Linked DNA regions of Caenorhabditis elegans. The protein of the gene in region 2 interacts with the protein of the main gene of each other region in a biochemical or structural test. Each region holds a gene or a part of one and is shown on either strand. Other genes may lie near its edges.

Region 1 (3,994 bases), on a different chromosome or scaffold from region 2:
AAATGTAGTGGTGGATGACAATTTAAATATTTTATTTTACAGACTGATTTACATTCAATGTTTTTATGTTTGAAAAAAAATCATTTTTAGTCCATATCCATATAATTGAAAGGATAACTTTACTTCAGTTTCTCCTTTTTTTTGCAAAAATTTTATATCCGGCACACTTTTAAATATTTTGAGATTACTTCGAATTTTATTGCCTTTTCTTGATGTGTCTACTATTTAACTCAATCTATGTCCTTTTAGCACGATAAATTTGTCACCTTAGCCTAGAAAACTGAAAAGTCACGGTTTTGATAATATTTCCGGAGACGTGCTTCCGTTTGACGTGATCACCCCTGGAATAGCAAGGCTTAATGTTTCCTTGTTTATTTTCAGAATTTTTTTTAAGGAAATCTTTAGTCATAGAGCAATTGTGCTGATTTTGAGCGAACATTTTTAAATGTTAACGATTGGGTACAGTACCAGATTTTTGGTTCAATATTAGATAGTTTCTCAACAATCCTGCTGCCGAAATCCACATTCTCAAAAATCGGAAACATGGTCTAACATTCAACTTCATTTTTTTTCGTCCGTCTGCGCACGCACATAAGAAAAAGGTGGGGATGAGAGGTTTTTTTGGGGGGAGGTTGAAATGAATGATGAGATCATAAGTAGGGAAGCATAGAGAATTGGCAAGAGAAGAAATAGACAAAGATCCGAATAAACTGAACGCTTGTTGAATGGGATGAAGGGGGTGAAACAACACAATTTTCTTATTTCAAATGAGATGAAAAAAAAATCAAATTACGCTTTAAAATGAGTCTTAAACGAGTATTATACACAAGATGAAGGGTGCCCAATTGTCATCAACCAAATGGTTTACTTGCGCCGTCCGAAGGCCATGATCTGACGTTCGTAGTCCTCGGCCCGCTTTCCGAATGCCATAATCGGACGATCGTAGTCGACGGGTGAACGTTTGCCGAATGACATGATGTCACGGTCGTACTGTAGAATAGATGGATTACGGAAACGACGTAGAAAATAAGAAAAAGAGGGTAGTACCATAGAGGAGGATCGCTTTCCGAAGCTCATGATGTCTCGCGAGAAGTCGCTGGGAGCCGATCGTTTGCCGAATGACATGATGTCTCTGTCGTACTGAAATATGATAGGTTATTATGTATTTATCATAGTTGGGGTGAGCAGCCGACAAAATTCAAGTCTCGCGGAAAATTATGTAGTCTACCGCGGCCTAATTTAGCGAAGTAGTATCAATTGGTAACATGACTGGGTTAGATTAAAGTAATTTGTTTTACTGTAGTGTAATGTGTAGTTTGTAGTTTTTAGATTTTAGTTTGAGCCCATCACCGAGATCCTCAAGGATCATGCGCAGCCGAGGTTTGCGAGCAATTCTACAAAATGAGACAGCGTGGCATGTTTTCTTAATATTATTCATTGAAATTCTGTTATAGAATATTGATTACTTAAATTCAAGTATCGCGGAAATGTAGTATCGCTTAAATTTTAATTGTTGCAAAGGAAAAAGTACTCATAAAAATGTCTGAAAATTGTAAACTACCGGAAAAGAGTTTTGATTAATTGTCGGACTTTTAGACATTTTTTGGGAGTCTTTTCAATTGTTTCAATTGAAATTGAAGCTATTCTCAGATAAATTAAATACAAAAAAAATATTGGGAGAACATGGCTCATTTTATATAAATACATGGCACCTCAACTACCACTAGTTACTATCAGATTACGGTAGGATTACTGTACTTTTCTAATATATTGCCCAACTTCCACCAACTTACACTTGGTTGTCTCTTTCCAAAAGCCATAATTCTCCGATCATACAAGTCGGCTGTGTTTCCAGACCTCTTTCCAAATGACATGATGTCACGGGAGAAATCGTTGCGCTTTGCACTCTGATTATCGTCACGACTACCTTAAAAATTTTGGGAATTTTGGGAATTTTGGAAAGTGTTCAGTTGCAAAGATTCCGCTGAGCTGACATCATTTTTGAAGCTCAGAGGATTTTGTTACAATTAGTCAATGAAATTAGGAGGAAAAGGTTCGAATTTCGCCTTTAATGTTTGGTTGTTTCTGATCAAATGACACAACACAAACCTTGACTGTATGCCATTGCGATGGCGGACATGATGCAGAAGATCTGAAGAGATCGTTGCATGTTGGAACCCTGGAAGAAAGAATTTTTTAGTGGAAGTGATGGTGTAAAAAGTAAAAGGGAGCATCCATAATGTATAAAATTATGGAAAAAAATAGAAAAAAATGTGGACTTCTAGTTAGTTCAAGTTCAAGAAATCTAGTCTAGACCGAAGCCCTTGTTATTTTTAAAAATCACATGAAAGAGTCTAGCTTAATTTCACACTAAGCTTTTTCACAAAAATTGATGGTATCGTTCTCTGAAACACCAGAAAATTTTAAAACATCCCGGCTGCTGTTCAACAGCAAAGTGTGCTGCTCCAAGAGCATCTCAATCTCAATAGGACACGCCCTTTTCCTCCTCGCCGTTTTTTTTCTCGTTCTTGACGTCATAAAAAAGAGGTGAACCTATCAATCTTGAAAGCCTACCGTAAATGGAAAAATGAGAAAATGAACGAAATTATTCAAAATGACAAGTCAAGAAAAAATGGTAGAAGAAGAACAATGAGAGTTTCCATGGCTTGGTGGCTTCTTTAATAAGGGTTTTCTTTTGTTTTTCGGGGAGCTGATGGACAAAAACCAAGATTCACTAATTAGGAACGTCATTAGACATTTTTTACTGTAAAAATCTAGCATAGTGACTAACATTTTTTGAGATTTTTGACTAATGAGATAGCAGATTTTTGTTGTAGGCTGTATGATGAAAACGTATAGTAAAAAAGGAAAATTGACGACGAAACATGACGAATTTGAGGGGGGTGGGCGATGTTTGAGATATTTTTGTTGAAAAAAGTTGAAAAAAACAAAATGAGTGAGTTAAAAAAATGGAAGCAAATATCACAGAACACCTTCAGAATTTTTTTTTCATTTTGAGGAAGTATTTCGAATAATTAAAGCTATAGCTTCACGGGCGAACGCAATTCGTCGACTGTACAACTATCCTATGTGTAAGTTGGCACTAAGTTTTCTTTTAGATACATTGAGCTATGACGTCACAAACTACAAACTATAATATGACTTTCCATATTTTTTAGGAGTTTCCAGAAGATTGCAAGCTTTTCTAGAAATTTAAAAAAATTTCTAGATTTTTCAAAATTTTTCTAGATGTTTCCAGAAACTTCCAAAACTTTTCAAAAATTGCTGAAACTGTCCAGAAAATTTTCAAAGCTTCCCGAACTGACTCGAACTGTTTTTTTTTCTAAGAATTTTTCGAACCTTACTAAAATTTCTAGTTTTTGTCCAGATTTTTAGGAGTTTCCAAAAAATTGAAAAAAAAATTTCAGAACCCAGAAGTTTGCATATTTTTCCAAATTTTTATAGATGTTTCCAGAAGTTTCGAGAGCCTTACTAAAGTTTCTAGTTTTTTTTTCCAGATTTTTCTTGATATTTCCAAAAGTTTTCGTGAAATTCCAGAACTTTTCTAAGATATCTGAAACTTTCCAGAAATTATTGAAACTGTTCAGAACTTTAAAGAAAATTCCAGAAATTCTCTTGTTTCTGTGGCAATTTGAATTTCGCGTAAAATTTTTTTTCCCAAAAAATTGGATCTTCCCGCTAAATTTAAAAACTATATACAAACGTTACAAACAAACGAAAAGTGAAATTCTGAACTTTCTTTTCCTCAAACAGAATACCAACTCCAAATCGGCTACAAATCCCGAAAAAAGGGAGCAATATCTAATTTCGGATAAGAGGACAAAAGACCAAGAAAAGACGTAAGGGGGTATGAAGTTACAAGTTTAGGGATTCCGTTAACGAAAAAACTGAGAGAGAAAATAGTTTGTATAAATGTTTCATGAGAAAAAAATGTAGACAATTGTTAAATGGTGAGAGAATAGCCTCATGAGGT
Region 2 (5,673 bases):
GTCAGTTTTGCTAAATTGGAATATTAAAAAATTGGACTTTCAAAGAAGTTTCGAGCATTCTTGCATGTTTGATCCCCTAAAATCAGTAAAAAAAATTTGTAATATAAACTTTTCGATTCTTTTTTTTGATAGTCGAAAATTGAGTGGTTGCCATTTTTTGACAGTGAATAAAAATGTTAACTTTTTTGTTTAATATTTAGTTTTTTTTTTAATTTTTAAAAGATATTTGCTGCATATAGTTTATGCGCTTTGACACATTTTTTGTGAAAATAAAACTATCAAATACAGTTCTCCAAGTGTAAACAACCACTCAGATTAATTGAAAGATGTGCATAAGTAATTTGGCAAGTCTCTTAACTAATTTCCGCTATAGATCACTGAGCTTTGAACATTTTTCGTCATTGTTTTCATTCAATAATTAGCGCCTATAATTCCCCGATGACCCCCAATCAAGCTTCTCTATTGACGTCTGAAAATCGTCAAATTCCATCCAAAACACACCTTTCCCCTTCACGTCATCACCATTCACCAATCATCAAGAAATCAAAAAACAATACCGATTTATTCTCTGTCTCCGAAGATCATCATTCTAATTACAAGGACTGGAATCAAGGTAAAACCCGTGGAATAAAAGTACATATAAAGCATGAACCTAGTAATACATATATGTATGTGCAAAATGCTAGGAATGAGGGAGAGAACCCGTGTATCTGATTTGAGTAAGCAAGTATGATCTAGACATTTTGAATGAGGTGAGCATGATGATCCTCAAGAGATGTCACATGTGCCGAGCTGCTCTTTGTTTGTTTCAGATTGATTTGGAATGGATGGTCGACTCCTGAAAATTGGAATATATTCAACTTTAGTTAAAGCATGAAGTAGGAAATTATGTAAGGCCGTTTTCAGGCCCTTTTTTCTCTTCGTTATGTTTAAGTATTTTTTTGGAAATTTATATAGAAATATAGAAAAATACTTGTACTTTCTAAAAATAGTTTCACTTTTATATGAAATTTGTAAAAATTTGCTCAAGAATTAAATCAAATATCGATATATCAAATGGCATATTCACTCGACACATTGCGACTTTGAGTCAATTTTTGAGCAATTTTTTAAAATTTAAATTTGAAAAAGTCATTTTCAAATAATTCAAATATTTTTCTATATTTCTTCTTACATTTCCAGGAAAAAAACTTCAACACACCATGCCGAGCGAGCTCGACAAAATTTCAAAATGTTGCTCACCTTCAAGTTTGTGCAAGAACTTCTTCAAAGTCTGTTTCATCAACGTTCGATATCTCTTTGACACAACACAATACAAACAGAAATTGAGTGACGCATTCAGGAATACCAGTTGTTGGCTCAAACATACATAAAGTATGGCTTTTGGATGATACTGTCCATACATATCGAACAGAATTCTTGCAGGAGCCTGAGGTCCAACACAGAAGAAAAGCATGAAGACGACTGCGAAAAGCATTGCATTTGCTCTCATAGTTCGGTTGTTATGAGCATCATGCTGAATCAAACCATCGGAAAGTTTGGTTTCTTCGTATTTTCTTGAATCTTCATCAACAACTCTGCGAAGAGTGAAGATTATTCGAGAATTCATGTAGAGAAGACCAATAATTGGGAGGACATTGAAAGCGAATAAAGACACATAGTCCATTGTTCGGTAGTAAATCTGGAAAAAAATTGGAAATTTATGAATAAATTTGATTTGAAAAATACAAAATATAAAATCTAGAATTTTTGAATTGAAAATTTTTTTCAAAAATTGTCGAGATCTAATTTCCAGCTTGTTTCACAAAATTCCTTTTTTCTCATGGTTGTCGAAGTTTTCTTTTTAAAAACGTATATGGAAATATAGAACAATATTTGAACTTTCTGAAAATAACTTTACTTTTAATGAACATTTTCAAAAATTGCTCAACTACTGCCTCAAAGTCACAATGTTCTGATCGCACATCACATTGCAACTTTAATGGCATTTTTTGAGCAATGTTCCAAAATCATATAGTAAAAGTAACATTGTTTTCAGAAAGTTAAAATATTACTCTACATTACTATATTAATTTCTAAAAGGAGCAAAACGATACATTAGTTCTTATGTTGCAAGTCCCATCAAAGGTCCCTAGATAAATTTCCACCTAAAACCTAACTGACTCATAATTACCTATCATCTTTTTGACCTCTATTCTCCCGCCATTTTTCCCCTGCTCAGCGAATTACTATAGAAACAAACAATTAGTCATTCCAGTCACAAACTGTCAACTAATCGGGTGTTATGTTTACTTCTCAATGTGTTTGTGCAAATCCGATTTGCTCATTTTGATTCTAAAAATAAATTTCAAAGATTCCTACCTCCCCATCTTTCTAATTTACCTTCTCCAAACAGTAAGTAAAAGCTTTTCTAATTACAACAAAACTCAGTGGCGGATATCAAGTTACTACTTTGCGCCACAATGCCATTGGAAACGAAAAAAAAAGAGTGTAGGAAAGAAGAACATGGTAAATACCTGAAGAGCACGGTTTGTCGACATTAGAATCACGTAGTAGTATTGATTTGAATTGCTTTCGAAACAACGAATTGTGTCATAGGCCAATGGCCATTGAATGGAGCACAGGAATGAGAGCACAATTCTGGAATTAATCGAGTTATGCCAAGTTTTGTTATGCACACATTTTAAACTTAAAACTGGAAGGAAGATTTTTTTGACAAAACAAAACACTACAAATGTGCAGTTTTAGATTTTTGAAATTTTAATTTAAAGTTTTTGTAAATTTCCAAATATTCCAACAATTGGACTTTCTGCGTAACTACCATAACTCCTGGATCTTCAACTCCCTGGAATTTCAAAATACACACAATTTAGAATCATAACTTCAATTAACCAAAACTGTTGACCCAGTTATTTCTTATAGATTTACAAATAATCCCGCTAAAAATAGAACCCCCACTTACGCAGTGGCAATCGCATTTTTCGAGTTTCTTGAAGTACACCATCGATGCGAGTTTAGCGGACAAACGACGCACAGGTAACGTTCAATGTTGAAGGCCACAACAATTCTGGAATACTTGCAAAATTGAAAAAAAGTATTAGCGAAATGTGAAATAATTTAAATGCTATGTGGAAATGGATTTGAGTCGTTCGATTATATTTTGAAATGAAGGTTAAAAATAGCTTCAAAATCTTAAATTGAACAACTATGTATGAAATAATCAAAAAATAGGTCATACATGCCTATATACATGCCTAATTTTTTCCAAAATTTGGCAGTTTGCCAAAAACTTACTTTTTGGAATATTACGACCTTAAAATAAAATAAAATTTCAAAAAACTAAAACTTACAAAACACTGCTTTTGTAGAAAGTTGATGCCAATGTCCGAATATAAAGCACAATTCTTGAATAAAAATGATTGAAAGAAGTGGAAAATGCCAGTGATGGAATAGATAATGGAGTTACATCCAGAGTAGCAAATATCAAAAATAAGCTATCACATACTGCGAGAGCTATTAAAAGGTTCCACGAAGGGATTCGGCGTGCTGTTTTATTCGAGGTCAGCACCGCCATATTAAGTAGATTACAAGCCAATCCTATCAGAGCAATCACGGGTAAAACTGCCACGTTGCTCCACCAGACAATCGAAATCGATTGCTCATCGTGCTCATGATGGGTGATATTGGAAAAGTTGCAAAAATCATGGGATCCAATGATTTGTTCAGATTGAGAAGCACCTTCCAGGGTGATTAGTTCGTCCATCTGCAATGAGGAGGTCAGCGAGAAAAATGGAAAAAGTGAGTGATTGACAACAATGCAACGAGTGAAATGTCAAAGTGTAATTATGATTACAACCAGCTTTTGCTACCATTTACACGCGCCAGACAATGAGAAAAGTGATCGCGGGCGGGAGGGGGAGGAAGAGTACAGTTTTGATTTGTGTTACGAGTTCTCAAGGTGAACATGAAAAAGGAGGGGATGGAAGGTCATGAGATGAGTGATAATGTTGCAGAAGTAATCTAATTAAATATTGGGTTTTTTTCAAATAAAACTAGAGAAAACGGCAAATTTGCAGAATTTGGAAAAGGAAGTATAGTTTCCGCTTTGGCCAATTTAACTGGAAACATCAAAAAATTGTCAACTAGCAAAATACATGGAATTTAAGTTTCTATACTAAGTGGGTTAGTTTAGGGATACTGTAGGAGTAATGTGGGAGCACTGTAGTACTGCAGGGGTACTGTAGTACCGTATGAGTGCTGTAGGATGGGTTTTTGTTAGGGTTTTTTTGTTTTTTTAAAGGGTTTTTGTATTTCAATTGAGGAACAGTTGGTTTTGGTAGAGAGATAGTACGGGCTACTGTATACTCTAGGGATACTGTAGGGTTACTGTAGACCAGATAGAAAGATAGACTGTCAATAACTGTCAGAGTGTGCGACAAATGTTTTGATCAACCAAATAGTTACCAATTTTCAGCCACATTATAAAGCCAGAGTGGTCAAAGCCAGACCACCCATACTGCTTGGTTCCTGTTGATTCAGGAACTTTATACCAATTTTTTTAACATGAGAAAGTATCCTAAGGAAATAAGTAAAGAAAACGTTTCCGCCAAGGTCAGACGATGTTTGTGCAAAAACGGAATCATTTGTCATTCTGAGACGGATCTTTAGACTTTATATTCCTCATAGTATTTTCAATTTTTCGAAAGATCAACATTTGATGCTTCTTATAGATCAACTGACAGAAAAATTTCGTCAAGATTGAATAAATTGGGTGAATTGATTTGACGTATGAGGAAATAGATCAAAATGTATAGGTAGCCTGGAAAGAAGGCACAAACCATGGTTTTAGGTAGGAAACGGATAGGGAGTTCTTTGATCGAGAGATCTTACTAGCTAGTTTGATCTTACGCAACTTCTCGACCAACTTTAGGATCTAGGCTTCTAGGATCTAGAGAAATGCTAGTTGCACAAATTGGTTTTACAAACATTCTCACTTAAAATTACAGAAAACTGGCAAAATTTGGTTTAAAAGTTCCTAAAGTTGCTAAAGTTTTTGGCAGAGATCTTACGGCCGAATGATAGGAAAAAAATTCAGTGAGATTAAGAAATCATACAAGAAACATGGCACGTAGGCACGTAGGTCTGAGGATGAGTTGAAGCAGTAGATATAATCAGAGATAATTTTATAGTAGAAGACAAAATGTTTCGCCCCTGGTTTTCAAATAAGTGAAATGACTGGTTTTTGAGGTCATAATATTTTGGGTCTACAAGATCACAATTCTTACCCTTCTAACAATAAGAACTAGATTCCAAAAAAATGGCGTGCCCCTCCGCTCAAAACCACCAAAACCTAGATGCAACTTTGAGACTCCAAAATTATGAAATAGTGTACAAAAGTGGTTACGGTCATCGTGGTGCACTTCAAAGGACAAACATTCCGGAATAGAAAAAAAACTGAGAAAAAATAGTTCAGAACTAGTAGAAGGTTTAGATGACACATTGAATCGTGAATATAAAAATGGAAAAAGGGGGAGAAATAAGAGAGTGAGTGACCAGCGAGAGAAGGGGAATCAATAGGGAAAACGGAGGGGCCCCCTCTCTTGTAGTGTATGTATGAGGGGACGGTATATGTGCTTTTCGCAAAGGACTTTTGTTTGTTTGTTTGTGTAAGTG

What was found.
Region 1: the proteins of npr-41 (region 2) and nlp-13 interact in a test that uses a peptide from one of them, tested with the Caenorhabditis elegans proteins (one large-scale study listed by BioGRID).

The regions. Positions count from the first base shown.
Region 1 is NC_003283.11:4,234,603-4,238,596, reverse strand, and holds nlp-13 (Neuropeptide-Like Protein), read right to left. Parts: upstream 2,180-3,994; 5' UTR 2,171-2,179; coding exon 2,110-2,170; intron 1,928-2,109; coding exon 1,794-1,927; intron 1,141-1,793; coding exon 1,048-1,140; intron 991-1,047; coding exon 865-990; 3' UTR 541-864; downstream 1-540.
Region 2 is NC_003280.10:11,508,765-11,514,437, reverse strand, and holds npr-41 (G-protein coupled receptors family 1 profile domain-containing protein), read right to left. Parts: upstream 3,766-5,673; 5' UTR 3,764-3,765; coding exon 3,351-3,763; intron 3,068-3,350; coding exon 2,963-3,067; intron 2,641-2,962; coding exon 2,517-2,640; intron 1,682-2,516; coding exon 1,243-1,681; intron 839-1,242; coding exon 735-838; 3' UTR 546-734; downstream 1-545.